Linked DNA regions of Anolis sagrei. The protein of the gene in region 3 purifies or fractionates together with the protein of the main gene of each other region. This does not show direct contact. Links are inferred from orthologs where the notes say so. Each region holds a gene or a part of one and is shown on either strand. Other genes may lie near its edges.

Evidence for each region.
Region 1: the proteins of RTN4 (region 3) and ATL3 purify together in Homo sapiens (affinity purification with mass spectrometry; 4 studies listed by BioGRID and IntAct, counting the BioPlex papers as one, with this or other methods). This does not show direct contact. The link is inferred for Anolis sagrei from reciprocal best matches to the Homo sapiens genes RTN4 and ATL3.
Region 2: the proteins of RTN4 (region 3) and NADH-cytochrome b5 reductase 3-like purify together in Homo sapiens (affinity purification with mass spectrometry; 3 studies listed by BioGRID and IntAct, counting the BioPlex papers as one, with this or other methods). This does not show direct contact. The link is inferred for Anolis sagrei from reciprocal best matches to the Homo sapiens genes RTN4 and CYB5R3.

What each region holds. Positions count from the first base shown.
Region 1 is NC_090032.1:17,100,200-17,107,439, reverse strand, and holds the start of ATL3 (atlastin-3), read right to left. Parts: upstream 3,019-7,240; 5' UTR 2,919-3,018; intron 1-2,918. UniProt on the Homo sapiens protein: Atlastin-3 (ATL3) is a membrane-anchored GTPase that mediates the GTP-dependent fusion of endoplasmic reticulum (ER) membranes, maintaining the continuous ER network. It facilitates the formation of three-way junctions where ER tubules intersect.
Region 2 is NC_090025.1:89,514,167-89,521,190, forward strand, and holds the start of NADH-cytochrome b5 reductase 3-like, read left to right. Parts: upstream 1-3,965; 5' UTR 3,966-4,142; coding exon 4,143-4,163; intron 4,164-7,024. UniProt on the Homo sapiens protein: Catalyzes the reduction of two molecules of cytochrome b5 using NADH as the electron donor.
Region 3 is NC_090021.1:16,434,355-16,442,260, forward strand, and holds the start of RTN4 (reticulon-4), read left to right. Parts: upstream 1-4,815; 5' UTR 4,816-5,222; coding exon 5,223-5,817; intron 5,818-7,906. UniProt on the Homo sapiens protein: Required to induce the formation and stabilization of endoplasmic reticulum (ER) tubules. They regulate membrane morphogenesis in the ER by promoting tubular ER production.

The DNA.
Region 1 (7,240 bases), on a different chromosome or scaffold from region 3:
TTCACCTACAATCAAAAAGCATTCTGAACCTCACCAATGATGGAATTAAACCAAAGGTGACACACAGTTCTTCCATGACCAACAGAAATGACTAGAAGGGTTTGGTGGGCATTGACCTTGAGTTTGGGAGTTGTAGTTCACCTACATCCAGAGACCACTGTGGACTCAAACAATGATGGATCTGGACCAAACTCTACACGGATATTCAATATGCCCAAATGTGAACACTGGTGGAGTTTGGGGAAAATAGAATCTTGACATTTGGGAGTTGTAGTTGCTGGGATTTATAGTTCACCTACAATCAAGGAGCATTCTGAACCCCACCAACGATAGAATTGGGGTAAACCTCCCACACAGAACCTCCATGTAGTAAACCTCTCCCAAAGAATGGCTAGTAAATAATAAATAAATAAATGCTATGGAATCCTTGGAAGAAAAGCTATAGACCTTGTAAAACTACATTGTATTAATGTATTATCGAAGGCTTTCATGGCCGGAATCACTGGGTTGTTGTATTTTTTTCCGGGCTATATGGCCATGTTCTAGAGGCATTCTCTCCTGACGTTTCACCTGCATCTATGGCAAGCATCCTCACTACCTCTGAGGATGCTTGGCATAGATGCAGGCGAAACGTCAGGAGAGAATGCCTCTAGACCATGGCCATATAGCCCGGAAAAACCTTCAACAACCCACTACATTGTATTGAGCCATGGCTGTTAAAGTGCAGTCAAACTGCATTAATTCTGCTCTGTAGATCAGGCATGGGGAAACTTCAGCTGTTAGGAATTGTGGGAGTTGAAGTCCCAAACATCACACAACTTATTTTGGAGCAAGCTTGTTTAGCATCGGCCTCTTAAACTACAGCATTAATAATAATAATAATAATAATAATAATAATAATAATAATAATAATGATTATGATGATGACGACGCAAGGTCTCTAAAAGATATATTATTTTGGTGAGGCACTAGTCTTCTTGGGCAGAGAAGTCTAAATACCTTCAAAAACTACAACTCCCAGGATAATATAGCACCCCAGAAAGTCATGGGAGTTGTCGTTTCCCAAGACTTTTAGCCCTTTCTTCCAAAGTGTTTTGGTGGCCAGAAAGGGGTTAGAGACCTTGGGAAACGACTTCTGAATTTAAATGCTATGGGATCCTGGGAGTTGTAGTTTCCCAAGGCCTTTCACTCTCTCCGACAAAGGGTTTCGATGGCAAGAAAGGGGTTTGAAACCTTGGGAACCGACAACTTTGATGGCTTATAATTTTAAATCCTATGGGACCCTGGGGGTTGTAGTTTCCCAAGGCCTTTAGCCCTTTCTGCCAAAGGGTTTTGGTGGCAAGAAAGGGGTTTGAGACCTTGGGAAACTACAACTTCGATGGCTTATAATTTTATACGCTATGGGACCCTGGGAGTTGTAGTTTCCCAAGGCCTTTCACTCTCTCCGACAAAGGGTTTTGATGGCAAGAAAGGGGTTTGAAACCTTGGGAACCTACAACTTTAATGGTTGATGATGTTGTAGTTTCCCAAGGCCTTTAGCCCTTTCTGCCAAAGGGTTTCGGTGGCAAGAAAGGTGTTTGAGACCTTGGGAAACTACAACTTCGATGGCTTATACTTTTTTACGCAGTGGAATCCTGGGAGTTGTAGTTTCCCAAGGCCTTTCGCCCTTTCTGCAATGGGTTTTGGTGGCAAGAAAGGGGTTTGAGACCTTGGGAAACTACAACTTCAATGGCTTATACTTTTTTACGCAGTGGAATCCTGGGAGTTGTAGTTTCCCAAGGCCTTTACCCCTTTCTGCCAAAGGGTTTTGGTGGCAAGAAGGGGATTAGAGACCTTGGGAACCTACAACTTCAATGGCTGATGATGTTTTCCAAGGCCTTTACCCCTCTCTGCCAATGGGTTTTGGTGGGAAGAATGGGGTAAGAGACCTTGGGAAACTACAATTTTGATGGCTTATAATTTTATGGGATCCTGGGAGTTGTAGTTTCCCAAGGCCTTTAGACCTTTCTGCCAATGGGTTTTGGTGGCAAGAAAGGGGTTTGAGACCTTGGGAAACTACAACTTCGATAGCTTATAACTTTATATGCTATGGGATCCTGGGAGTTGTAGTTTCCCAAGGCCTTTCCCAAGGGTTTTGGTGCTTTGCCAAACTACAGCTCCCAGATTCCCCCTGAAATCATAGAACTCGTGGGAATTGTAGTTTCCCAAGGCTTCCAAAGGGGTTTGGTGCTTTGCCAAACTACAGCTCCCAGATTCCCCCTGAAATCGTTGAACTCGTGGGAATTGTAGTTTCCCAAGGCCTTTCCAAAGGGGTTTGGTGCTTTGCCAAACTACAGCTCCCAGATTCCCCCTGAAATCATAGAACTCGTGGGAATTGTAGTTTCCCAAGGCCTTTCCAAAGGGGTTTGATGCTTTGCCAAACTACAGCTCCCAGATTCCCCCTGAAATCATACAACTCGTGGGAATTGTAGTTTCCCAAGGCCTTTCCAAAGGGGTTTGGTGCCTTTCCAAACTACAGCTCCCAGATTCCCCCTGAAATCATACAACTCGTGGGAATTGTAGTTTCCCAAGGCCTTTCCAAAGGGGTTTGGTGCTTTGCCAAACTACAGCTCCCAGATTCCCCCTGAAATCACAGAACTCGTGGGAATTGTAGTTTCCCAAGGCCTTTCCAAAGGGTTTTGGTGCCTTGCCAAACTACAGCTCCCAGATTCCCCCTGAAATCACAGAACTCGTGGGAATTGTAGTTTCCCAAGGTCCTCAGCCCATTTTGCCAAAGTTTTGCAAGGTTTTAGTGCATACACCCACCCCCCACAGGACCAGGATCCCATAGCATTGAATCCTGGAAGTTAAAGCGGTGTTAAACCGCATCAACTCTACAGTGCAGATGCAATCACGTGGTGGAGACCTCCCAGGCTTACCGGCCGCCTCCAGCTTGAAGTCTTTCTCAGCTGCAGCCGACGGAGAAGTGACCCGCCTGCTTCCCGCCTCGCTCCCATCCCATCAAAGCCGAAGGAGCGAAGGGAGGGCCCTTGGGTGCCAAGGCATGCCGGGAAATGTAGTCCCAGTGGCGCCTCCCCTCGCCCGAGGAGCCTGTTCCCAGCGAGGCCTGCGAACTACGACTCCCGGCAACCTTTGCGGCCACTCAGAACAGGCGGATGGCAAGGAGAGACCGTTGCAACGGCTGCTTGGAGCGAGGCTGGCGAAGGGCATTCTGGGAGATGTAGTCCTCCCTGCTTGTTTACCTTTTCACAACTTATCAGTGCTCCTTTCTCTTCATGATTTAAGTCCTTCTCATCATTCAGGCTTATTATCATTATCATTAATATCACAAAGGACGACCACCTCACCCACCTCATAGGAAACCTGCTACAAAACAGGAGCTTTTTTGTTGAGTTGACAAGCTGGAATGTGTCCAGAGGAGGGCGACTAAGATGATCAAGGGTCTGGAGAACAAGCCCTATGAGGAGCGGCTTAAGGAGCTGGGCATGTTTAGCCTGAAGAAGAGAAGGCTGAGAGGCGATATGATAGCCATGTATAAATATGTGAGAGTTGACAAGCTGGAATGTGTCCAGAGGAGGGTGATTAAAATGATCAAGGGTCTGGAAAACAAGCCCTGTGAGGAGCGGCTTAAGGAACTGGGCATGTTTAGCCTGAAGAAGAGAAGGCTGAGAGGAGATATGATAGCCATGTATAAATATGTGAGAGTTGACAAGCTGGAATGTGTCCAGAGGAGGGTGATTAAAATGATCAAGGGTCTGGAAAACAAGCCCTGTGAGGAGCGGCTTAAGGAACTGGGCATGTTTAGCCTGAAGAAGAGAAGGCTGAGAGGAGATATGATAGCCATGTATAAATATGTGAGAGTTGACAAGCTGGAATGTGTCCAGAGGAGGGTGATTAAAATGATCAAGGGTCTGGAAAACAAGCCCTGTGAGGAGCGGCTTAAGGAGCTGGGCATGTTTAGCCTGAAGAAGAGAAGGCTGAGAGGAGATATGATAGCCATGTATAAATATGTGAGAGTTGACAAGCTGGAATGTGTCCAGAGGAAGGTGATTAAAATGATCAAGGGTCTGGAAAACAGGCCCTGTGAGGAGCGGCTTAAGGAACTGGGCATGTTTAGCCTGAAGAAGAGAAGGCTGAGAGGAGATATGATAGCCCTGTATAAATATGTGAGAGTTGACAAGCTGGAATGTGTCCAGAGGAAGGTGATTAAAATGATCAAGGGTCTGGAAAACAGGCCCTGTGAGGAGCGGCTTAAGGAACTGGGCATGTTTAGCCTGAAGAAGAGAAGGCTGAGAGGAGATATGATAGCCATGTATAAATGTGTGAGAGTTGACAAGCTGGAATGTGTCCAGAGGAGGGTGATTAAAATGATCAAGGGTCTGGAAAACAAGCCCTATGAGGAGCGGCTTAAGGAGCTGGGCATGTTTAGCCTGAAGAAGAGAAGGCTGAGAGGAAGAGAGCCATGTATAAATATATGGGAGTTGACAAGCAGGAATGTGTCCAGAGGAGGGCGACTAAGATGATCAAGGGTCTGGAAAACAAGCCCTATGAGGAGCGGTTTAAGGAGCTGGGCATTTTTAGCCTGAAGAAGAGAAGGCTGAGAGGGGATATGATAGCCATGTATAAATATGTGAGAGGAAGCCACAGGGAGGAGGGAGCAAGCTTGTTTTCTGCTTCCTTGGAGACTAGGACGCAATGGAACAATGGCTTCAAACTACAAGAGAGGAGATTCCATCTGAACATGAGGAAGAACTTCCTGACTGTGAGAGCCGTTCAGCAGTGGAACTCTCTGCCCCGGAGTGTGGTGGAGGCTCCATCTTTGGAAGCTTTTAAGCAGAGGCTGGTTGGCCATCTGTCAAGGGTGATTTGAATGCAATATTCCTGCTTCTTGGCGGGGGTTGGACTGGATGGCCCACGAGGTCTCTTCCAACTCTTTGATTCTATGATTCCAGGGCCAGAGAAGCAGATGGCGGAAACAGAAGAACAGCCTGCCTCAGGGGAGCGTGCTTGCTCCATCCATGTTCAACATCTACACAAATGACCAGCCACTGCCAGAAAGGACAGAGAGCTTCATCTATGCTGATGATCGTGCCATCACCGCTCAAGCAGGGAGCTTTGAGATGGTAGAACAGAAGCTCTCCAAAGCTCTACGTGCTCTTACTGACGTCAAGCATCCCCCCCCCCCCAAAAAAAAAGGGATGGTGACTTATAGTTCTGCAAAGGACAAAGATACCAGACTGCACAATAGGGATTAAGTCTTGGTCAATTTGCCATGGCCTTAACAACAATGAGGACCCCATGAAACTTTGGGAATAGCTAGACCTTGGGGTCTCTGCCTCTCTCGGGAGCTGTAGTTCTCCAAGGACAGGGAGCAAAGCTTGTTTCCAGAGACACCAGGTCCATTTGGGCCACTCAAGAACTCCTGCCAGGACCTTTGTGCAACACCCTTGCGTTTTAGCCATCCCCTATGGACGCTCTTTCCCCCCACATGGACAAACCTTATGAACTCTTGCCTTTTATGAACTTTAGATGTATGAAATGTGTTTTCTGATTTCTTTGTGTGGCAGAAGCCTTTCCCCTTTTCTTCTGACCTTTGTTTCCCCTATATACATGAAGAAACTCCACCAAAGGGACTACAAAGCCCCAAACATTCCAGGAATTTTTTATCCACAACTTCCTTTTGCATGGACAATAGTCTGGGCAGTTGGTGGCCCTCGGAGGAATTGCCCAGCCCTCAGCTTGCCCCTTTGGCAAAAATCTTAATCATATTTCCTCCTGAAGGACAAAAGGTCCTTGAAAAAACCTTTTGCCTTCGCTCTGATTATTCATTCCACTCAAAGCACAATAGATCAGGCTGGCTTGAGATTTCCCCTTTGTCTCGCCGGTCGCATGGCATGGCATTTCCTTTGTTTACTCCTTTCCCAGATTCCTTTGTGCTCCCTCATCCCGCCTCCATTTCTCCTGATTGGCTGTCGCCACCAGGTGGCAGAGATCTCTCCATTGGTTCCTACGGACCACTGGAGCCCATCGCCCCATCATGGCAGGGAACAACAGGGAAGCCGGGGCGGGGAGTTTGAACTCTGCAACTTTGAATTTGCTATAAATATGACCAGTAGCTGGCCACTTGGAGTGCCTCTGGTGTTGCCGCAAGGAGGTCCTCCATTGTGCATGTGGCAGGGCTCAGGGTGCATTGCAGCAGGTGGTCAGTGGTTTGCTCTTCACCCCACTCGCATGTTGTGAATTCCACTTTGTGGCCCCATTTCTTAAGGTTGGCTCTGCATCTCATGGTGCCAGAGTGCAGTCTGTTCAGCGCCTTCCAAGTAGCCCAGTCTTCTCTGTGCCCAGGGGGGAGTCTCTCATTTGGTATCAGCCACTGGTTGAGGATCTGGGTTTGAGCCTGCCACTTTTGGACTCTCGCTTGCTGAGGTGTTCCAGCGAGTGTCTCTGTAGATCTTAGAAAACTATTTATTGATTTAAGTCGTTGGCATGCTGGCTGATACCCAAACAGGGGATGAGCTGGAGATGTCACTGCCTTGGTCCTTTCACTATTGGCTGCTTCTTCCTGGCAGATGTCAGGTGGTGCAATACCGGCTAAGCAGTGTAATTTCTCCATCGGTGTAGGGCGCAGGCACCCCGTGATAATGCGGTATGTCTCATTAAGAGCCACATCCACTGTTTTAGCGTGGTGGGATGTGTTCCACACTGGGCATGCATACTCAGCAGCAGAGTAGCATAGCGCAAGGGCAGATGTCATCAAAGTGGGGTCATCTGTATATCTAAGGTTAATGTTTCTTCCAGCAGTTTTCACCCTAGCCTTGCATTTCTCAAGGCCCACACATCGCATGATGTGTTCTGCATACAAGTTGAATAGGTTGGGGGAGAGGATACAACCCTGTCATACGCCTTGCCCAATTCGGAACCATTCTGTTGTTCAATGGTCAGTTCTTCCTGTTGCTACTTGGAGATAAGGTGATTTGGTATGGCCATACCACCAAGAACTTGCCACAATTTATTATGATCCACACAGTCAAAGGTTTTAGAATCGTCGATAAAACAGATTATTATTATTATTATTATTATTATTATTATTATTATTTTCCACTCCATCTTTTTATTTTTTTGAAAAATTTCTGACATTACAGAACTAAACTGAAATGTATTAATTTCACTCTTACATTTCATGACATAATAATAATAATAATAATTAAGATTATTAAAAAAAAGGTAAAGGTAAAGGTTG
Region 2 (7,024 bases), on a different chromosome or scaffold from region 3:
CAGGGAACACTGAAATAATAAAGCGCTTCACTGTAGAAGGAGTTTATAAGATTGTAACATCAAAAGCCTGAATGTATCTCAACCAAGCCATATTGTAACCATCAAGCATATGCCAAGTTCAACATCTTAATATTGCAACAATACGCTTTGTTTAACAATAAACTTGTTCTCTTTGTTATTTTAAACCTGCCTCATCTCCATTGAGTTTACGTTCGGTGCATTCCACTCTACCAAAGTTATCTCACAACGCAAATAGGGATAAACAGAGACTATAATACCAGCGTCTGTAAGGAAGTTCCGAGACTGCTAAATTAAACCTGCCACCAAATGTATAGAGACGCTGGTATTATAGTCTCTGTTTATCCCTATTTGCGTTGTGAGATAACTTTGGTAGAGTGGAATGCACCGAACGTAAACTCAATAGAGATGAGGCAGGTTTAAAATAACAAAGAGAACAAGTTTATTGTTAAACAAAGCGTATTGTTGCAATATTAAGATGTTGAACTTGGCATATGCTTGATGGTTACAATATGGCTTGGTTGAGATACATTCAGGCTTTTGATGTTACAATCTTATAAACTCCTTCTACAGTGAAGCGCTTTATTATTTCAGTGTTCCCTGTTGTGAATATTCTCACTGTTTGTCCTATACCGGATCAAACCACTGATCTCCAGTCTTCCACTACTGGCGATCCTAAAACCCCCTCTGTTAGATTCTCTTTCCTCAAAGTAATCTAACGAGGTTTTCCCTTCAGCTCCCTTGCTGAAGAAATATTCACAAACACTAAAAACTAACTGACTCTACACTGCTTCACTCCACAGAGCCCCTAACTGACTCTGCTCCTCTTCTCAGGGTCTCTTCCTCCTGACTGAATTACTTTCTCAGAGTCCCTTCATGACTCTGCTACTCTCCCAGAGTCCTATCTGACTCTGCTCCTCTTCTCAGGGTCTCTTCCTCCTGACTGAAAATTAACTGTCACTTTCAAACCTTTTTCTCTTTAAGCTCCGCCCACCTCCTCTTCTGCCTTGTCTCCATGGCAACCTATCTCTCACAGCTAGGCCATGGCAACAAATGTAAAACACAAATACAGATATTAACACAGTATAATAAACACTTTATAATAAACATTTCTCTACACATAGGCATCACTGAAACCTGGTGGGATGACTCCTATTGCTGGAATGTAGACATCGAGGGCTATAATCTCTTTCACAGAAACTGAACAAAGGGGAGAGGAGGCAGAGTAGCGTACCTGGATTTCCGTAAGGCCTTCAACAAGGTCCCCCATGACCTTCTGGCAAACAAACTAGTCCAATGTGGGCTAGGCAAAACTACAGTGAGGTGGACCTGTAATTGGTTAAATGGACGAACCCAGGGGGTGCTCACCAATGCTTCCTCTTCATCTTGGAAAGAAGTAACGAGCGGAGTGCCGCAGGGTTCCGTCCTGGGCCTGGTCCTGGTCAACATCTTTATTAATGACTTAGATGAAGGGCTAGAAGGCATGATCATCAAGTTTGCAGCTAGCTATTTTTTGATATGAGCAGTTCAAGGTCTGTGCAAAATGTACTCCTGGTCTTGTTTTTGCCCAGAGAATGCTGCTTCTCCGCATTCTGTTTCTAGTTATGTGATATATCCGAGTCCTAACTTGAGGGTGTCTCTTCTTGAGTTGCTGGAAAAATATGTTTGCAACGAATAAACTATTTGCTTCCTAAATTCAATCAGTCACACTCCTGCTTCATTTCACGATTCTATGCCAATTTTTTTCCTATTTGTTTTTACTGTACTTTGTTTCCCACATTTGCATTCCAATCTTTCTTCTTCTGCCTCTGTAACTGCTGCACTATTTATTTATTTGTCGTGTCAGAACAACCAGTCTAACAGAACAAAGCAAACAAACAGAAAAATACACAACTTCTGATTTTGGTAGCTGGTTAAATGTCTTTTGACCAGTATCTGGCCACTTGGAGTGCTTCTGGTGTTGCTGCAAGAAGGTCCTCCATGGTGCATGTGGCAGGGCTCAGGTTGCATTGCAGCAGGTGGTCTGTGGTTTGTTCTTCTCCACACTCGCATGTCGAGGATTCTACTTTGTAGCCCCATTTCTGAAGGTTGGCTCTGCATCTCATGGTGCCAGAGCGCAGTCTGTTCAATGCCTTCCAAGTCGCCCAGTCTTCTGTGTGCCCAGGAGGGAGTCTCTCATTTGGTATCAGCCATTGGTTGAGGTGCTGGGTTTGAGCCTGCCACTTTTGGACTCTCGCTTGCTGAAGTGTTCCAGCGAGTGTCTCTGTAGATCTTAGAAAACTATGTCTAGATTTAAGTCGTTGATGTGCTGGCTGATACCCAAACAGGGGATGAGCTGGAGATGTCTCTGCCTTGGCCCTTTCACTATTGGCTACTACTTCCCGGCGGATGCCAGGTGGTGCAATACCGGCTAAGCAGTGTAATTTCTCCAGTGGTGTAGGGTGCAGACACCCTGTGATAATGCGGCATGTCTCATTAAGAGTCACATCCACTGTTTTAGTGTGGTGAGATGTGTTCCACACTGGGCATGCATACTCAGCAGCAGAGTAGCATAGCGCAAGGGCAGATGTCTTCACTGTATCTGGTTGTGATCCCCAGGTTGTGCCAGTCAGCTTTCGTATGATATTGTTTCTAGCACCCACTTTTTGTTTGATGTTCAGGCAGTGCTTTTTGTAAGTCAGAGAACGGTCCAGAGTGACTCCCAGGTATTTGGGTACGCTGCAATGCTCCAGTCGGATCCCTTCCCAGGTAATCTTCAGAGCTCGGGATGCTTGTCTGTTCTTAAGGTGAAAGGCACATGTCTGTGTTTTAGATGGATTAGGGATCTGTTGGTTTTCCCTGTAATAGGCAGTTAGAGCAATGTGACAGTTTCATACATGCAATTTTTGTGTAATCACAAGTACCTATACAATGGGACTGGGAAATCTGAAGCAACATGATGTAATATTTACCCACTAAACATGATATCGGGCTAAGAGGGGAATTAGTATTGTTAACAGTAGCTATGTACCACTTTTAACATTCATTGTCATTCTTAGGTATTTCTCTGAATAGGCCATGTCCAGTCTGAGGATTTTTTGTGGCTACTGCTATGTTTGCACAATTGCATTGTGGATGACTATGTCTGCAAGTTCCTTTAATGCTCCGGCATGCAGTTTGTCTGGCCTTGCAGATCTGAACACATTTAGCTTAAATAGGTGATGACGGGGGGGGGGGGGGGGGCAGGAACTGAAGCAAAATAGTTATTAATTAGCTCTGCCTTTTGTGGTAAAATATTCCCATCATTTCCTTCAGTCACTTGCTTTGAATATGCACATTTGGAAAAACTCAAAAAAAAAATTGTGCTGAGACTTTCCTTATACCATTCCGGCAGGGTTGAGCTACACAACTGTATTCTTCCTTGGTGATTCATCTTTCCTTTCCATTCCTTGTATGCAATCTTTTTTCTGCTCACATTTTCAGTATGCTTATTGTACCTAATTGGTTCTGTCATTAAAAAACATGGAAAAAGTTTATTGAACTGCAAAAACTTTGGTTTTGTGAGACATCCTGCAGCACATTTGCTATAGTTTTCAATAAATAGTCTCAACCAGCAGCAGAGTAGCACAGCGCAAGGGCGACTGTTGCACTAAACAAAGCCGAAATAAATATACTGCTGGCATCTATCTCCAAGAAGACCCTAACCACATTTAAACACAAGAAGACACAAAAATCCCCCTGACCACTAAATTGCAGCCAAACCACACCTAGGGCGGGACTAGCCAGTCAGCCTACAGCTCCCAGCAATCCCTCCTCCGCCTAAACCCTCCTTGCCCTCTATTCCAAACCCGCCTTCCCATCCGGTAGCTAATCAGGCCGAAGCGGCGTCAAGGCTCCTCCTCCCCCTGTACCTATTGGCTGGCGAGGGCGGAGACGCTACTAGCCCGCTTTCCTGCCAATCATCGTGAGGAACAGTTCGCTGAGGCGAACAGAGGCGCAAACTCGGGGGAGAAAGGAGGCTGGGACGGAGTGGGTGGGGCCAGGAGGCTTCGATTGCTTCGCAGCGGGCCAGCGGACGGTCTTCCTCAGCTTGTGGCTGGAATTCTCTCGGGCCAGCGGAAGCAGCAGCAGCAGGAGCAGACGCCATGGGTTCCTTCCTGAGCACGGTGAGTAGAGGTTCCGGAAGAGGCTCCCCTCCCTCAGTGGAATGTGCCTGGCGGGCAGGAGGCGGCAGATCCCCTTCCGGGCAGGGGTCCCTGGCCGATGGCAGCAGAGCGCATGCGCCCCTCCCAGCCCTTGTCTCCTGCCTGGCGCCTCCTGGCAGACACGCCCCTGCCAGAAAGGGAGCCGGGAAGCAATTCTTTTTACCGTGCGTTATCAACGACCGAGTAGAGTTTTACCATTTGACACCACTAACTGCCAGGGCTCACTGCTGTAAAATGCTGGGATGTGCAGTTTATTGTGGCACCAAGCACTCATAGAATCATAGAATCAAAGAGTTGGAAGAGACCTCATGGGCCATCCAGTCCAACCCCCTGCCAAGAAGCAGGAACATCGCATTCAAATCACCCCTGACAGATGGCCATCCAGCCTCTGCTTAAAAGCTTCCAAAGAAGGAGCCTCCACCACACTCCAGAGAGTTCCACTGCTGAACGGCTCTCACAGTCAGAAAGTTCTTCCTAATGTTCAGATGGAATCTCCTCTCTTGTAGTTTGAAGCCATTGTTCCGCGTCCTAGTCTCCAAGGAAGCAGAAAACAAGCTTGCTCCCTCCTCCCTGTGGCTTCCTCTCACATATTTATACATGTCTATCATATCTCCTCTCAGCCTTCTCTTCTTCAGGCTAAACATGCCCAGTTCCTTAAGCCGCTCCTCATAGGGCTTGTTCTCCAGACCCTTGATCATTTTAGTCGCCCTCCTCTGGACACATTCCAGCTTGTCAATATCTCTCTTGAATTGTGGTGCCAAGAATTGGACACAATATTCCAGATGTGGTCTAACCAAAGCAGAATAGAGGGGTAGCATTACTTCCCTAGATCTAGACACTATGCTCCTATTGATGCAGGCCAAAATCCCATTGGCTTTTTTTGCCGCCACATCACATTGTTGGCTCATGTTTAACTTGTTGTCCACGAGGACTCCAAGATCTTTTTCACACGTACTGCTCTCGAGCCAGGCGTCACCCATTCTGTATCTTTGCATTTCATTTTTTCTGCCAAAGTGGAGTATCTTGCATTTGTCACTGTTGAACTTCATTTTGTTAGTTTTGGCCCATCTCTTGTTAGTTTTGGCCCATCTGTCGAGCCCATCTGTCGAGCAGATAAAGTGGCAGAGCACTGTAATTCTGCAGTGTGGATATTAGTTTTAGACTCTGGAGATCAGGATTCGAAACTATGCTGCAGAATTAATGCAGTTTGAAACCACTTGAACAGTTCAGGCTCAATAATATTAAACCATAGGTATTGTACAGGGTGAGGCAGCATAACTTCCTTTTTTCAAAACTTAATAAAGCCCATTGTATGAATCAGGAAAAAAATATATAATGTAGGCACATACCTAAAGTTTTGTTTTACTTTTAAAGATCGAATTAAGTAGGTGACATCCCCCATTCTCCATTCTCCATACATTGAGTAACCGATTTCTGGCATTTGTCATGACTTGCCAGCATAGCAGGTGTTAGGTTGGCAATTTCTTCCTGGATGTTGGCCTTCAAATCTTGTAGGATCCTTGAACGGTTCACATAAACACGGGATTTCAAAAACCCCATAGAAAAAAATCACAAGGGGCCAAATCTGGAGAGCGGGCCGGCCACTCCAAATCCACTTGAAAAGTAGGCCTCAATGGCAAAAACACGCTCCTCACTGTTACAACGCATGATGGAGACTGAACTGTGACAGGACAAAACTTGATACTCCTGCCTCTCAAACGAGACCACTAGCACTCCGCTACGTCTTCAACCGACTGAATAGCGTGCATTTTTAAAAAGGAAGTTATACTGCCTCGCCCAGTAGTTCTAATAATATGTCCTTAGCCTTCTCTGCCAAAGAGTGCTGATGCCTCATCAAAATACAACTCTATCCATAACATGAAGCCACAGCATCTAAAATGGTATCAAACTGCATGAATTCTCCAAACGTTTAAAGCCGGGAGAAGGTTCACAGTCCCTCAGTAAGTTGGTGGGTTGGACTGTAGTTTGAAAAATACACAAATGAATTCCTATGCATGCTGCACATATGTTATTTGTAGCCCAAAAAAACCCATGTTTGAAATGAAGAATAATTTTAACCAACATAAATGTATTTCAGTGGGAAGTGTGAGCCTGCTTTTGACTGATGACATAGTCAAGTTTATTAGGATTGTTGTTGTTGTTGTGTGCCTTCAAGTCGTTTCAGACTTAGAGGGCAGCCCTAAGTTTAAAGCAATGGCAGGGTCAGTGACCTTGGAGGGCTGCATCTGGCCCACAGGCCTTAGTTTGGGGACCCCAGTTGTGATCCTGAGCAACTCACATACTCTCAGCCCCAAAGGAAGACAAAGACAACACACACACACCCCTGAACAAATGATAGTTTTGACATACAGGACTTGAGGGCAGGCGGCAATAACAGTATCTGCAAGCCTGGATTAAAGTGGAAGGACTGGCTTGCGGGCAAAGGAGAATGAGGGAGACAGAGGCCTCTCTCAGCTCCTCCATTGTGACTCATCATTGCCCTTTGACAACTCACAAGAAAAATATTCCAGAGTTTCCTGGCAATTACCACCAGTTTTGAACGTAGTTCCTTTCTGCCCATCCACCAACAGTCTTTTTAAAAAGCAGTCTTGTGGAACATAAGTACATGCCATTTTCTTTCAAAAGAGGAAGAGTTGAGGGGATGCATGTTCTGACCCTATTTATTGCATGACTCACGAAGCTCAGGATCCAAGCTTTCTGCCAGAAAATGCAAAGTTGCAAAGATTTAGCATGTTTCGCCTGTAACTTCAATAACATATCTGCAACTTTTGCCGCTCTAAAAAATACCTGGAGATGTAGAT
Region 3 (7,906 bases):
GAAACATTGCTCTAAGATACCTACTTATAAGTTACATATCCTTTTAAGACTGCATTTCTGGATACACTTACTGGGTAATAAATCCCATTGAAACCCATGGGATTTATGGGACTAAATATACTAGAGGTCAGGCTGGAAGGCTACAAAATGAGAGAACAAGACTGGTTTAAAGTCAAAGAGACTGATTTCTAAATAAATATGCTAAACTATCTTTACTGCAACAGTCTTGCAATGCTGCATTACAGTTACTCCCATTTTACAGATAAACGTTGGAATATACGGGGGAGGCTTGTGAAAGCTTACGTAATGGCAGATGACGGGGTTTAGCTCAGGTCTCTCACATCTCTGCCTCTTTGCTATATTTGAAAAAAAAAACAAAGCAAGAAAGCCTTATGGCATCTTAGAAACAAATTTTCAAATATAGCATCGATGAAACTTCTGCGGACCACATTTAAGTAATTTTTCCAGACAGATTTCCGGTGCGGGTGGTGCTGGTAGCCTTGTTAGTCGGTTTTGCCGCAAAAGTACGAAACAGCCTTGCAACGTCTTAAAGACTAACACGCTTTATGCCCACCTCTTCAAATGCAGCAGATTGCTACTCTTTAAAATGCAACAAGACTCTTTGTGGCTTTGGTCAGGCAGAAGAAGCCAGGAACAAACAAATCACTCTTAAAATTATTTTTAAATACGGTCGTCCATCCCTCCACAATTGCAGTTTTGGCTTTGACAGATTTGATTGTTCAAGGATCTGATTTATTTATTTATTATAAATCGTGTCAGGAGCAAACCAAACAGTTGTATTGCATTTTTTAACAAACAAACAAACAAAACACAAAGTTTGCAAGCTTGGTAGTTGATTAAATGTCCATCTGGCCACTTGGAGTGCCTCTGGTGTTGCCTCAAGAAGGTCCTCCATTGTGCATGTAGCAGGGCTCAGGTTGCATTGCAGCAGGTGGTCTGTGGTTTGCTCTTCTCCACACTCGCATGTCGTGGATTCCACTTTATAGCCCCATTTCTTGAGGTTGGCTCTGCATCTCGTGGTGCCAGAGCGCAGTCTGTTCAGCGCCTTCCAAGTCGCCCAGTCCTCTGTGTGCCCAGGGGGGAGTCTCTCATTTGGTATCAGTCATTGATTGAGGTTCTGGGTTTGAGCCTGCCACTTTTGGACTCTCGCTTGCTGCGGTGTTCCAGCGAGTGTCTCTGTAGAGCTTAGAAAACTATTTCTTGATTTAAGTTGTTGACGTGCTGGCTGATACCCAAACAGGGGATAAAGGATCTGATTAAAAATATTCTTTCTAGGAATCTATGGTCCTTCACTGAGATTTCATGGTCATTTTCCAGAAGATGTTGACCATAGATGAAGCCATGTTGGAAGGCCTAGACACATTCCCTCAGGTTAAAAAACAACCCAACGATTTCTTCATTCCAGGTTTTTCACATTCATGGGAGTCCTGTGGCCCTAACCCTATGAATGTGGAGGCCTGCCTGTATTGATGCTGAGTACTTTGATCTTCCTTTGATCAGTATTGCTATAATGCACAGCACAACATTAGTATATATACTGTAATAGTATTAGTAATATTACATGTAATATACACTGCACCACTTCTTGCAGCAGCTGTGGATGTGATCTATTGTTTCATCTGCTTCCTTGCAAGGTCTACACTTGGGATCTGTCGTGACTTTTCAATTCTGGCTTTGATGGCATTGGTTCTAATGGCTTGTTCTTGGGCTGCCAGAATCAGGCCCTCCGTCTCCTTTTTCAAAGTCCCATTTGTGAGCCACATCCATGTTTTTTTCTTTGTCAATTTGGCTCTCAAATTTTGCCAGAAACTGTCCAGTCTTTTGCTGGTTTTCTCTTCTGCTATGGATTGTGTTTTTACGGTATTCCCTCTTTGTCTTTTGCACTTGAAGCAGTTTACTACGATTGACTTCCCTCAATGTTGGTTCTTGATTGCCTTTCACATAATCTGCCAGTGCATGTTTCTCTTCTTCTACCATTTTTGCTTCACTTGCAGAAGCCCTCTCTCTGCCTCCTGATTTTCTGGGCAGGTAAAGTCTGTTGACATCACTACACGGGTGTAATGAGTAGTGAATTGTCATCAGTTTTATTGTTTTTCTATCCAGATCATTCAGCTCTGCTTGTGTCCAGTTCACAATCCCACCAGTGTATGTAATGACGGGGGTGGCCCAGGTGTTGATAGCCTTGATATTGTTTTATATTGCTTTCAATTGTGTTGTTATTTGTTTTATCTTATGTTTTAATTGGTGAAAGTGTTTTACATGTGTTTTTTAATTGTAATCTTGGGCGTGCCCCTTGTAAGCCACCCCGAGTTCCCCAGGGGAGATGGTTGGTGGGGTATAAAAATAAAGTTATTATAATTGATTGTATTTCCGCCATTTAATTTACTCTTCAAAACCTTTCTGACTCTTTGGATATATTCTTTGCTGACCACATTTTTCACTTGCCCATGCCTGATATTGTCCAACTGTAGTATGCCCAGTGTGCTGTCGCACGCTGGGCCTGTGCATAGGACTGTAGACAGGACATATATTCTGTGTGCCCAACAGGACGCCGGGGCTGCCTCAGATTAAAGGCCCTTGGATTTCCTTAAAACAGAGTCTTTAGATTGTTTAAAGGTTCAACAGTGTTCTTTATTGATGAAAACAAACAATACTTTAAAGCTTTCTTAACAGTCTATTGGCTCTCTCAATCTTGTCCACAGGGAACAGGCACTATCTTCATAACTGTAACTAATGGGGAAATTCTTAACTTCTAATCTGGGCAGTCTGTCTTTGCCTCTGATGGCGTGGAGCCCCTACACCCGGTACCAACTGCATCTGGCTTCCGCGAGTGACCCTTACCAAGCAGAGCTTTGTAGACTTCCAGGGAAAAAGGAGTTCAGGTTTCAGTGATGGCTGACTGAAGTCCCTCAGCAAAGGAGCTGTAAGGCTGTATATCTTCTGGCCAAGCTGTGGGGCTGTATAACCCCAGCCAAGCCATAGAAGACAAAGCTTTCTACAGGAGCTCTTGGTATTATGTCCTGCATGGAAAGCTTCTCTGTGTGGACTGAACCCAAACTGGCTCCTATTCCCTCCAAAACCCAAAGGGGGCAGGACCAGGGAACCGAACTATAATTGACAGGTGGCTTGTCCTATGATTGCAGCCAAAAGAAGCCACCTATCTGCAGAGTCCCTGAAACTTAGGACTACAACAAACATTAAATGCAAAGCAAACAAAATTGGAGCTCCTGGTGCAGTTGTACCTGCACACCCAGATATTATTATTACTATTATTGGCTATCCCTTCCAACTGGCCGTATTACGTCCCTCTACGTCCCACCCTGGAGTCTAAGATCATCTGGGGAGGCCCTGCTCTCGACCCTGCCTCTATCACAAGTGAGATTGGCGGGGACGAGGAGCAGGGCCTTCTTGGTGGTGGCCCCCCACCTTTGGAATTCACTCCCCGGGGAAATTAGATCTGCAATATCGCTCCTTTCCTTTAGGAAAAACTGAACACATGGATTTGGGACCAGGCATTCGGATAATCGGGCAGATAAAAGGACTTGACAATGATTAGGAAATGATTAATGGAATAGAACTATGGAACTCTGAAAGACGAAGCGCTGAGCATGAGAATAGTTTTTTTTATAGTTTTTATATATGACATGTTATGTACTGATTGTTTTGATTGTTTTTAACTGCAATAATTGTTTTAGCCATGGTTTTGTATATTATGTGTAATTTGTACGGCATCAAATGGTGCCTTCTTTGTAAGCTGCCCTGAGTCCCCCCTCGGGGGTTGAGAAGGGTGGGGTAAAAGTAACAGAAATAAATAAAATAAATAGGTTCTTGTGGGTTTTTTCGGGCTATAGGGCCATGTTCTAGAGGCATTTCTCCTGACGTTTCGCCTGCATCTATGGCAAGCATCCTCAGGTCTGTTGGAAATAGGACAATGGGTTTATATATCTGTGGAATGGCTGGGGTGGGGCAAGGAGCTCTTCCCTGCTAGAGCTAGGTGTGAATGTTTCAGCTGATCACCTTCATTAGCATTTGAAGGCCTGCCTGAGCCTGGGAAAACCTTTTGTTGAGAGGTGTTAAGATGTGCCTGGTTGTTTCCTCTCTGCTGTTTTGCTTTGTAATTTTGGAGTTTTTTAATACTTGTAGCCAGATTTTGTTCATTTTCATGGTCTCCTCCTTTCTGTTGAAATTGTCCACATGCTTGTGGATTTCAATGGCTTCTCTGTGTAGCCTGACATGGTGGTTGTTGGTGTGGTCCAGCATTTCTGTGTTCTCAAATAATATGCTGTGTCCAGGCTGGTTCATCAGGTGCTCTGCTATGGCTGACTTCTCTGGTTGAAGTAGTTTGCAGTGCCTTTCATGTTCCTTGATGCGTGTCTGGGCAACTCTGTGTTTGGTGGTCCCTATGTAGACTTGTCCACAGCTGCATGGTATACAGTAGACTCCTGCAGAAGTGAGAGGATCCCTCTTGTCCTTTGCTGAAGGTAGCATTTGTTGGATTTTCTTGGTGGGTCTGTAGATTGTTTGTATGTAGATTGTTTTGTTTGTAGATTGTTTGTAATAAAATAAATAAATATTATTATTATTGTCTATCTCTTCCAACTGGTGGTTCGGAATTGTGGGAGCTGAAGTCCAAAACACCTGGAAGGCCCAAGTGTGCCCATGCCTGGGCTGCATCCTCTTCTCCATCCCCACCTCGAATGGTCAATTCCCTCTTAGCCCCGCCCCCTTTGTGTCCCCTCCTGGATGCTCATTGGGCCTTTGGGTTGCCTGTCTATCTTCTTGGGTGGGAGAAGAAGAAGAGAAGGAGGAGGACAGACAGGAGCCGCTCGCTTCAACTTCTCTTCCTCCTCCTCCTCGTCCTCCTCGTTAGTTGCAGGCTCCCTCCTCCCCGTCCAAGCCCAGCCTCCTCCTCCTCTCCTTCCTCCTCCTCTTCTGTGACTCATCCGGGCGTGGAGGTGGTGGCTGGCTGGCGGGCTGCGTCTCCCCCTCTTCTCTCTCTCTCTCTCTCTCTCTCCTGAAGCAGCAGCAGCAGCCGCCCTCCTTGTTCATTCCTCCTCCTCCTCCTTTTCTACTTTTACTCCTCCTCCTTCTCCTTCTTTTGGGGCGAAAGAGTGAGAGAGTGTGCAGTTTTCCCTTCCTTCCTTCCTTCCTCCCTTTCTCCCAGCTCGGCTCCTCTTGAGTTCTTCTCTTTGCAAGCCAGGATGGACGACCCCGACCAGTCGCCTTTGGTCTCCTCTTCGTCTTCTTCTCTCCCTCCTCCTCCTCCTTCCACAGCCTCCCAGCCCCAGCCCCCCCTTTTCCAGTACCAGTTCGTGAAGGACCCCGAGTACGAAGAGGAGGAGGAGGAGGAAGAAGAGGAGGAAGATCTGGATGATGAGCGGCTGGAAGTGCGGGAGGTGAAGAAGCCCCTGTCCGCCCCGGCCCCGACCATCCCTTTCAGCCCCCCTCCGGCTCCTTCCGGGCCCCCTCCGCCCTTGCTGGACTTGGGGGGCTTCGGGGAGCCGCCCCCGCCCGCCAAGGCCCCCTCCTCCTCCCCGCCCCCGCCGCCCCCTCCGCAGCCGGCTTGGGGCCCCAGCACCACCACCCCCTCCTCCTCCTCCTCTTTCCCTCCTTCCTCCTTCTCTTCTTCTCCTTCTGCCCCCGAGGAGGAGGAGCAGCCCCCGCCACCCCCGCCGCCCCGAGGGGAGCCCAAGCCCCCCGCCATCCCGCCCCGCAACGCCCCCCAGCTGCCCCCCAAGAAGGAAGAGCAAAGCCCCGCCGCCGCCAAGGGAGACCCCAAGGGCTCAGCCTCGCCCGGTGAGTCGGGGAAGGAGAGTGCGCATGCGCCTGCAGAGCTGGGGGGGGAGATGCTTTGGCTTTTTGGGGGGAGGGGGCAGTGGGGTGTCTGTCTATCGAGGGCCAGGGGTTTTTTTGAAGGGGGAAGACTGCTTCAGGGAAACTTCCTAAGGGGGGGGGGGACCATGGGGGTGTGGTGGTCTGCCTTTAGTGGAACTTGGGGGGGGGGTACCATGAGGGTCCTTTGTAGTGAACCTCTCTCTTGTATTTTTTTTTGGGGGGGGGGAGTTGACCAGAGGGGTGTGGTGGGCCATGGGGGTGAATGCTTTTTGGGTGGAGAACATTGTAGTGAACCTTCTGTGTGTATATTTTTGTTGGAGGGGGAGTTGACATCGGGGGCCTTGTAGTGAACCTCTCTGTATGGGTATTTTTTGGGGGGAGGAATTGACCTGAGGGGTGTGGTGGACTGTAGTGGAACATGGGGTGAATGTGTTTTTTTTGGGGGGGGGGCTATAAGAGGCCTTTGTAGTCAACTTCTCTATGTGTATATTTGGGGGGGGGGGTTGACCTGAGGGGCGTGGGTGGGCAGCCTTTGTAGTGGAACTTGGGGTGAATGAGGGGAGTGAGCATAAGAAGCCAATGTAGTGAACCTCTCTCTGTGTGTATTTGGGGGGGGGGGGGGAGTTAACCTGAAGGGTGTAGTAGAGCTTGTGGTGAATGTTTTTTTTTGGGGGGGGGGAGACTATAAGAGGCCTTTGTAAAGAACCTCTCTCTCTGTGCATTTTGGGGGGGGGTTGACCTGAGGGGCGTGGTGGGCTTCCTTTGTAGTAGAGTTCGGGGTGAATGTTTGAGGGGAGAGGCCATAAGAGGCCTTTGTAGTTAACCTCTCTCTTTGCGTTTTTTTGGGGGGGGGAGAGTTGAAGTTTGGGGTGAATATTTTTTGGGGGAGACTGTAAGAGGCCTTTGTAGTCTACCTATCTCTGTGTATATTCCTTTTTGGGGGGGGGGAGGGTTGACCTGAGGGGCGTGGTGGGTAGCCTTTGTGGTGGGCCTTGGGGTGCCTCCATGTGTGCTTTTTTTTGGGGGGGGGGAAGCTAGGCTTCCCTCCCCAAACTCCTGTCAGGCCAAGGCTTGAAAGTGGGGAGACTATTGGGGGTGGGTACATTGGTAGTGGACCTCTGGGTATACATTTGTGGTGGTGAGAGAAACCTTGGCCTTGACAAGGAGAGCATGATGAAGGGGAGCCATTGTAAGGAGTGTGTTTTTGGGGGGGGGGGAGGGTGAGACAAGGAAGGCAGAAATGAGTGAGGGGAGTGGTCGTATTGGAATTAATGGATTCTGGTTCCCAATAACTCATGGAGGGGCCTGATAGGAAAGGCCTAGAAGACCTAGTAGGAGGGAGGGGTCAAGGGGAAAATGGACATTGAGGGCGTGTATGGGAAGAACTGGGGTGGCCTCACCACAGGGTAATGTGGGGAGGGTCTGCTTTTGTGTGGGAGAACTTTTGGAGGGGGTGGATTCAGTGGCATGTCAACTCTCCATGACTCATGGAGTAGGCCTTCCAGACGCTGTGAAGAGAGGGCTTTTTTTTGCGGGAGGAAATCGAGAAAGGAGGTTGTTCATGTGAGGAATTGGGTGGTGGGGTGGTGGTGGAGTGGTCTCACTATGGGTGAATGTGAGGAGGAGGTGTGGGTGTGCTTTGTTGAAGAGGGGAGTGTGTCTGGAAGGCGTTGGGTGATGGAGGGAGGAATAGCATGGCATGAAAGGGTGAGTGGGGGCTTTGGGAAGTGTAGCTACAAAGATTGAGTAAGCAGCATGTGCAAGCATGCTGAGGAACAGGTGGAAGTATGTGGTATGTGTGTGTATGTACACACACACACAAGCCGTGCCCACCACGTGTTGCTGTGGCCAACCTTCCCTCCCTCTTTCTCTCCTTCCCCTTTTTACTTTCCTTCTCTCCTTCCTTCCTTCTCTTCCTCTTTCCTTCCTTTCCCCCTTTTTCTTTCCCTTCCTCTTTCCCCCCTTTCTTCTCTACATCTTCTTGGACTGCGACTCCCAGCAGTCCTCCTGATCAATCTGTCTACCTACCTATGTATATCTAGCTGTCTGT